Linked DNA regions of Ovis aries. The protein of the gene in region 1 interacts with the protein of each later gene in a biochemical or structural test. Links are inferred from orthologs where the notes say so. Each region holds a gene or a part of one and is shown in the gene's direction. Other genes may lie near its edges. The genes, in order: CARD11 and PRKCQ.

Evidence for each region.
Region 2: of the proteins of CARD11 (region 1) and PRKCQ, one has a biochemical effect on the other in vitro, tested with the Homo sapiens proteins (2 studies listed by BioGRID). The link is inferred for Ovis aries from reciprocal best matches to the Homo sapiens genes CARD11 and PRKCQ.

Annotation. Positions count from the first base shown.
Region 1 is NC_056077.1:40,873,256-40,877,067, forward strand, and holds part of CARD11 (caspase recruitment domain-containing protein 11), read left to right. Parts: intron 1-1,150; coding exon 1,151-1,330; intron 1,331-2,208; coding exon 2,209-2,361; intron 2,362-2,814; coding exon 2,815-2,940; intron 2,941-3,517; coding exon 3,518-3,715; intron 3,716-3,812. UniProt on the Homo sapiens protein: Adapter protein that plays a key role in adaptive immune response by transducing the activation of NF-kappa-B downstream of T-cell receptor (TCR) and B-cell receptor (BCR) engagement.
Region 2 is NC_056066.1:11,293,194-11,297,005, reverse strand, and holds part of PRKCQ (protein kinase C theta type), read left to right. Parts: intron 1-2,457; coding exon 2,458-2,620; intron 2,621-3,812. UniProt on the Homo sapiens protein: Calcium-independent, phospholipid- and diacylglycerol (DAG)-dependent serine/threonine-protein kinase that mediates non-redundant functions in T-cell receptor (TCR) signaling, including T-cells activation, proliferation, differentiation and survival, by mediating activation of multiple transcription factors such as NF-kappa-B, JUN, NFATC1 and NFATC2.

The DNA of each region.
Region 1 (3,812 bases):
AGGAAAGGTTTCCATGTTGTTTTTATCTAGGATTTGAGGATGTGGTCGAGATTTAAAACTTGCTCTCTCTTAGGACTGTTTTTATGTTTTCCTGATTATAGAGGAATGGCGAGAAAGCATCTCAGAACTTAAAAGAACTTTTCTCTTTGGTTGAAAGAATATCTGGCCTGCTGAGTCCTAGGCCATTTCTCAGGCCACAGGGGTGCAGCTGGGGTCCCCTCCTGGCTAAAGCCACCACCCTCTACCTGCTGGATTTCTAGAGGTGTTCTCCCCAAAAGCCTAGAACTGAGAAAGGACACTCGCCCCTTGGAGATCTCTTCCTTGTTGCATGTAAAAGCAGTCTTCTTACTAGGTGTTCGGCCAACGATGATCCCTTTGGGGAAGCAAACAAACACAGTCACAGGGGTTTAAGTCTTCTCCTGGCCCCAGTTCCTGACACGCACTTCTTGAGGGTGAAGCTCAGCACATCGCCAGTTGTCAAAGTCCCAAGAATAGTAACTGCCTCCTCCAGGAAGGCTGTCTTTCTTACACTAAGTCTGGGCAGGTCCTTTAGGCCAAACATCCTGCCAACCTGCAGTCCAATGAGTCTCAAGCTGTTCTTTTACAGTGGTGCCATTTTTTCAAATAAAATCTTGGATGAAACCCACGAGGCCAAATCACATGCAGGCAGAGCTGTGCTGGGGCGTGAAGTCAAGATAGAGCCCGAATTCCCCTCCCCTCCATCTCTGCCCCCTTCTGAAACACTAGGGTTCTTCAGGAATCTTGTCTTTTGAGGATCAGAGTTAGAAACCTATCAGAAAAGACCTTTAAAATGGAAAGGGTGCCTCAGGGAAACACCAGCTTGGGAACCTCTCATCCTAACCTGTAACCTGTTCCACCTGCATGAAGATTGCCCGAGGAGGTTTTCTGAGGACCAAAGCTGCCCAAGCACTGTTCTGAACTAACAGACCAGGACCTCTTCCTCAGCAAGGAGGGAGTGGTCGTTTCACTGAAGGAGAACCTTTCAGATCTTCTGGCCACCAGCTGGAGGAGGAGAGAGGGGCAGAACACGGCTCCTGCCAGAAGTCCAGCAAGCTGTGGGGAGGCAGTCCCTTCTCTGAATGTTCCCCTGCAACCTCGCTCTCCCCTTGGCCCCCCGGGGATGTTTCAGATAGACCAGCTAAAGCATCGGCTGAACAAGATGGAGGAGGAATGCAAGCTGGAGAGGAACCAGTCGCTGAAACTGAAGAACGACATTGAGAACCGGCCCAAGAAGGAGCAGGTCCTGGAGCTGGAGCGGGAGAACGAGATGCTGAAGACCAAGATCCAGGAGCTGCAGTCCATCATCCAGGTGAGGGCGGGGGCCGCACGCCTGCCAGGGCGCCCCTTGCCGGCCGCGGGACCACAGGGAGCTCACGTCATCATCCTTGGGCACCTTGGTTCCTCCTCTGTCGGCAGGGGTGACCGCACCACCCACTTCTCAGACATCACGTGAGGTAACGCTTGTGACGTTGTTTCCTTGGTTGAACCATTTCACGAAAATCAGTGTACTGGGCACTATGAGGAAAGTACTTCGGGGAAAAGCTTCTTGCCTTAAAGATTCCAAGAAACTCAGCTCTCAGCTGTGAGGGATTTGTTAAAGCTTCGAGGGCCTCCCCTTCTTTATCATCACAGAGTCATCTGTGGGTACAGAGGCAAAACATCCGCAGATCCATGTGCAGGGGAGGAAGGAGGGCACCCGCGCCCTCCCCCAGAAAGAATGGTGCCCCCCAGGATCATTGCCGCCTGGTGTGGAAGGCCCTGGTTCAGAGCAGAGACTGGGTCCCGGTTTAATCAGAGCAGATTAATTGATGTTTCAGGGGAGGCATCTGCAAGGCAGCTCAGCCCCGTCTTTGTTGTCACCTGTGAAATGTGCGGAGAAGCTGCACAGCTGCCTCTCTGGGCTCTGATAAGAGCCAGGGCAGAACAGTAGGCATCGGGATGTTTCTGAGCAGAAGTGGGTTTTATGCTTCTTTCCAGGTGATAAAATTCATAAGTAATAAGCCGCTTAAGGGCCCCAAGAGACAGCGACTCTTGCCCCTGCTTCTCTGGCACAAAGCCTTCCGCTCACTGCATGTCTGTCGCTGGCGCTTCTGTCTGCCGCCTTCCTGGGCCTCCTTGCTCCCTGCCCCGCACCCCCAGCCCCGTTAAACTTTTCCCCACACACACACCACCCCCCCACCCGCCCAGGCTGGGAAGCGCAGCCTGCCAGACTCCGACAAGGCCATCCTGGACATCCTGGAGCACGACCGCAAGGAGGCCCTGGAGGACCGGCAGGAGCTCGTCAACAAGATCTACAACCTGCAGGAGGAGGTCCGCCAGGCGGAGGAGCTGAGGGACAAGGTGGGCCTCGGACGGCCGGGGCTGCCGCCCGGCGGGGGCCCGGGGCTAGGTGTCCGGGGCTGTCTGTGGAGCCTCTGGGCCCCCACTCTCTCCCAGGACCAAGTCTGCGTCCTGGTGTGAGTCCCTGTGTGTCAGCACCCTGCCGTCACTGGTGGACCGTTCTAAGTGTCCGCGTGGCACTGGCCTTGCCCCCTGGCTGACCGCTGCGGCCACGGGAGGGCACACTCAGTGTCCACCCTGACCCCACTCCCCCCGCACATAGTAGGCCTGCCTCAGGTCGCAGCTGGTGGCTGGCCTTTTACCACAGTCCCTTCGCGTCAGAGCGCTGACTCTCAGAAGGCCAGGCGCCATGGGGAGGGGCAGGCCGGCCCTGGGAAGCCGCGGCTGGCAGCCAGCTGTCGGGCCTGGTTGGTCGCTGGCTTGATGCGAGCATTCTCTCTCCTGTGCTCGCAGTACCTGGAGGAGAAGGAGGACCTGGAGCTGAAGTGCTCCACGCTGGGGAAGGACTGTGAGATGTTCAAGCACCGCATGAACACTGTCATGCTGCAGCTCGAGGAGGTGGAGCGGGAGCGGGACCAGGTACCCGGCGGCTGGCCCAGGCTCCAGGCCATGGGGGCGGCGGGGTGTTGTCGGGGTAACGCCGTCAGCTCTGCGGGAACCACCTAGGACCCCACCTTCCTGCTTTCCTTCCAAAAATGAATCCCGTCCCGGCTGTGTCACTGGTGTTTAAAAAGCAGGGCTGGGGCCTGAATGGGACGCCAGTGTCCTGGGCCTCGAAGCCGGATGGCCAGGTCCAGGCCCTGTCCCTCTTCAGACGTGTGGCTGCACGCTGCCCCTGCCTGGAAGCCTCAGTGCTCCCGTCTGTGGAGTGGGAATAGAACAGCCGCACCACCTCGTAGGGTAGCGGGTGGGCTCTGCCTTGGACCTCTTAGCCCAGCAGTGGGCGCACAGCTGGGGTGAACTCACGAGGGGCTGTAACACGTGCAGAGGACGGTAGCAGTGGAAACGCCCAAGCGTCAGATTCAGGGAGAGGGCCGGAGACGCTGTGGCTGACACGTGGGCTGGGGAGGGCAGGCGTCCTGGGTCTGATTTTGGGGGGATCGGGGGGGCGGGGTGGGGAAGAACCCAGCGACCTTGTCCTCCGCCTCCCGGGCAGGCCTTCCACTCCCGGGACGAAGCGCAGACCCAGTACTCCCAGTGCCTGATCGAAAAGGACAAGTACCGGAAGCAGATCCGGGAGCTGGAGGAGAAGAATGACGAGATGCGCATCGAGCTGGTGCGGCGGGAGGCCTGCATCGTCAACCTGGAGAGCAAGCTGCGGCGCCTCTCCAAGGACAGCGGCACCCTCGAGCAGGTGGGCTGGGGGCGGGCCCCCCTGCGCGCCCCCCCCCCCGCGCGCCCCCCACCCCCGCAGAGCACAGCCGTCCCGACCACCGAGCGCCCGCCCGAGC
Region 2 (3,812 bases), on another chromosome or scaffold:
TAAACAAATAGATTAGGCACCATTGCTATAAAATAAATAACCAACTATATAAAGATCAGTGAGCTTATTCAAGCCAATGTACAAACGGAAGGCCAAATTACTTCAGAAATAAACAGTAATTACAAGGAGAATTTTTAAAATTCTGAGCTTTTATACATTTACTTTCTTATAAGGATTGAAATGATCAGAGGATAAAGGAATTATAGCAAGGAGCAAGGGAATGAATTACTTACCTGCAGTCTCTGACATATTTTTAAATGTACAGTGTTCTAATACACAGACTATTTTATATTTATAAACATATAGTTGTATATAGTCCGGACTATTATAATAGCTTTACTGACTATTCAGTCAGTAAAGAATCTGCTTAGGTTCGATTCCTGGATCGGGAAGATCTCCTAGAGAAGGAAATGGCAACCCATGCCAGTATTCTTGCCTGGAGAATCCCACGAACAGAGGAGCCTGGTGGTCTGTAGTCCTTGGGGTCAGGAGAGTCAGACACAACTTAGCAACTAAACCACCACCATGTAATTGTTACATGGTTATATTTGTATATTTTTCACAGTATTATGGATAGAGTTCCCAGAATAATTCACCTCCCTCCCTGAGTTCGAAAGTAATTTTATGCTTTATTTCCTTTTATTTCATCAGCACCAAAATAGAAATGAATCAGAGCTTCCCGACAAATGGCCTCCTGTGCCGGTCCCGAGTTGTAAATAGATCTCTACACTTAAACCAGAGCCTATAGGAGAAGGCAGTTGCCTCGGTGACCCTAAATCTAACCCCGAATTCACCAAGCCTTTTTATTTCCAGCACAGTTCCTTTAAAAAAAAAAAAGACCTAAATCGCCTATCCTTTAAGTATCAGGCAAAGTCCTCAGCCGTGTAAGGAAGTCTTTCTTAGGGATGCTTGATTATTATCTTCCTTGGAGTAGAGTTGAGTTACAATCCTGTGTTAGTTTCAGGTGTACAGCAGAGTGACGTTTTATCTGAGAGTTTGGGGTTTCCATAAAACAGACCCATGGACTCTTGGAGAGAAGACTTCAGTCTTGAAATGGGTGCTGGCACTAGGCTGGACGGTGGAGGAGGGTCTCCACCTCCGTGACCCTCCCCCGGCCCTGTCTACCCAGTGTGCTTCCAGCTTGGCCCTGAAAAGGGGTGGGGAAATTAAGATACTCCGGCAGGATCACTTGCCTCGAGTGTGTTGTCCAGCCACTGCCATGGCTTACCCGGAAGGGAAACAATTGGGTTTAAATATTGTTAACTCTCTTCATTTGTGAAACAGGAGCCCCTTATCCTTGCCAAACCTTCATTTTTTGTAATTTAAAAAATAAGTAGACTAAGTAATCCAAGAATCTACTTGGAATCGCAGTTGCAGGAACTGAATCATCAATTCGTTATCCGTATTTTAGTGATGACGGCAGCTGTGTTCCGCCTCCTTTACCATGCACTCTCCCATGCACGCTGGAGGGCCCATCGTACTGGTCAATCATAACTACCTTGCTATTGTGTGTTTTGGCTGGGGGACCTGGGCTTCGGCCAGGGCGAATATTCTCACCGGTATTTCTCAGACTTCTTCCAGCCTTTTGGAAGCTGTGGGTACTGTGGACAGTTACTACTCAGAGTACCTTCACCAGCACCCAGAGCCCATGGTAAACTGAAGAAATGTGAACGTGATTTGATGTAGATGACTAGGTACCAGCCAGGATTATCTAGACACTTTTTAATTACAGTCATCCGTTCCTTTCCGGCCCTTTCCACATTGACCTGTATAGTTTTATGGCTGGTGCATCTGATTCCCATTGGCTTCAGGAACCAAAGCATAAACAACTTCCCAAAGCTTTTTTGCCTTCAGAAATCTGGCCAGCTCCTGCCTGTCTACATTTTTTGTCTATAAACAACCAGATATAAAATTTTCTGGGACCTAAAAAATATATATATATAGTTTCCAACTTACTGTTCAGTACCACATTATTCTTTAGAATTACAGGCAAAGTATTTGCCACTTCCTGCCTTTTCTGGCTGACTCATCACTGACAGTGACAAGGAAAGGTCAATAAATACCTTAAATGTTCCAATTTCTGGTTTTAAAAATTGAGAGAGGATATAGCTCAGTGTCGTGAAAGAGGATGGAAGGATTGAGCCAAGATTCCAGCCTTGTTGTTCCAATCCTGGAACAGGACACCATCTGATAATTCTGTTATGGGACTAAGGAAAGACACTTCGTACTGTACCAAACTTCAGAAATACTGGGTTGGCCAAAATGTCCATAACATCTTTTAGAAAAAACCCAAATAGGCGTTTAGCCCAACCCAGTACTTGGGATGCTAATGGTCTCAAAGCTTGTCTAGGTCCTCATCCATCTCTGCCCCTTCCCCGTTTCCCACCCCTGCGCTGCTCACCCCCAGCTGTGACAGCCATTTCGCAGAAGGTCACCGTCCCTGCCCTCTTCCTGCAGACACAAAGGACATGAACGAATTCGAGACCGATGGCTTCTTTGCTCTACATCACCGCCGAGGAGCCATCAAGCAGGCCAAAGTCCACCACGTCAAGTGCCATGAGTTCACGGCCACCTTCTTCCCACAGCCCACGTTTTGCTCCGTCTGCCATGAATTTGTCTGGTATGGTAACTCGCGTGTGACGCCAAGCTTCAGGTTATGCCTTGTGTCACTTCTTTTGTTTGTTTATTTATTTGGCTGTGTTGGGTCTTAGTTATGGCACACAGGTTTCAGAGCACAGGCTTAGTTGTTCTGAGGCCTGTGGGATCTTAGACCCCTGAGCAAGGACTGAACGCCTGTCCCCTGCATTGCATGGCAGATTCTTAAACCCTGAACCACCGGGGAAGTCCCATGATGCATCTTCTTAATCCACCAGGCCTGGCATGTTCCACCTTGCGGGAGTGTACGGGAATAGGTACTACCTGAGAATTTCCAGTGGCCTCACCTGGATTGAGAAGGCTCAAATGATGTGATTCTAGAGAATATTTTCATAATAGAGCTCCTATAGCATGAGGAATCCAGCTCCCTTAAGAAAGATTTCAAGGAAACTCTGGTTTCCAATTACATGGGAAGCTTCTAGGGGTGAGTGGGGAGGGACAGAAGAGGGAGAGATCTTTATTGTAAGCAGAGTTTCATAGTCAAAACTGCCACCAGCTCGACAACCCAACTGTGCTAACTAAATGTCTGCAGAAGGCAACACTTACCCATTGGAGCTGATGGGTTTCTGTGTTTACAAGGCTCTTGGGTGTCTTAAACAGCCCCCGAACAGAGATTGGTTCAAGCCTCAGTAACCACAGCAGCGAAGGCTACGGTAGACTGGAGACTCAGAATGACTCCTATCTCTTGTTTCAGCCTCCCCCACTCTTTTGGGGTCTTCAGTCCTTTGGGTTCTTGCAGGATTTGTTAATGCACAACCTCTGGCTTAACCAGGGTATCCAGAGGTCGGGTAGACTTTTGGTGGATTTCCATCGACTGTCTTCCTCTAATGACTTGAGCTCCTTCCTATCTAATAGTGAATGTGAACAGAATCAGTCTTAAGGTTGAGAATTTATTAGCTGCAAATGTTCTCAGATACTCAGAAAGAGGAAATAAAGTGTTATATGGATCTCTTTGCTTATCTGAACTGAACTTAGTAAGACAGTGAAAAATTTTAAGTGTCGACATGGAAATTTGCCAGCAGGAGCCTGTGATCCATTTCTGGTGGGACATTTTTTTTTGTCTGCCTGTTTGTTTGGGAAATATGCAAATGAAAAGGAAATGAACAACTCATTTACTGAATGTTCAGGCTTTTCACAAAGCAGGTCAAAATAAGAGC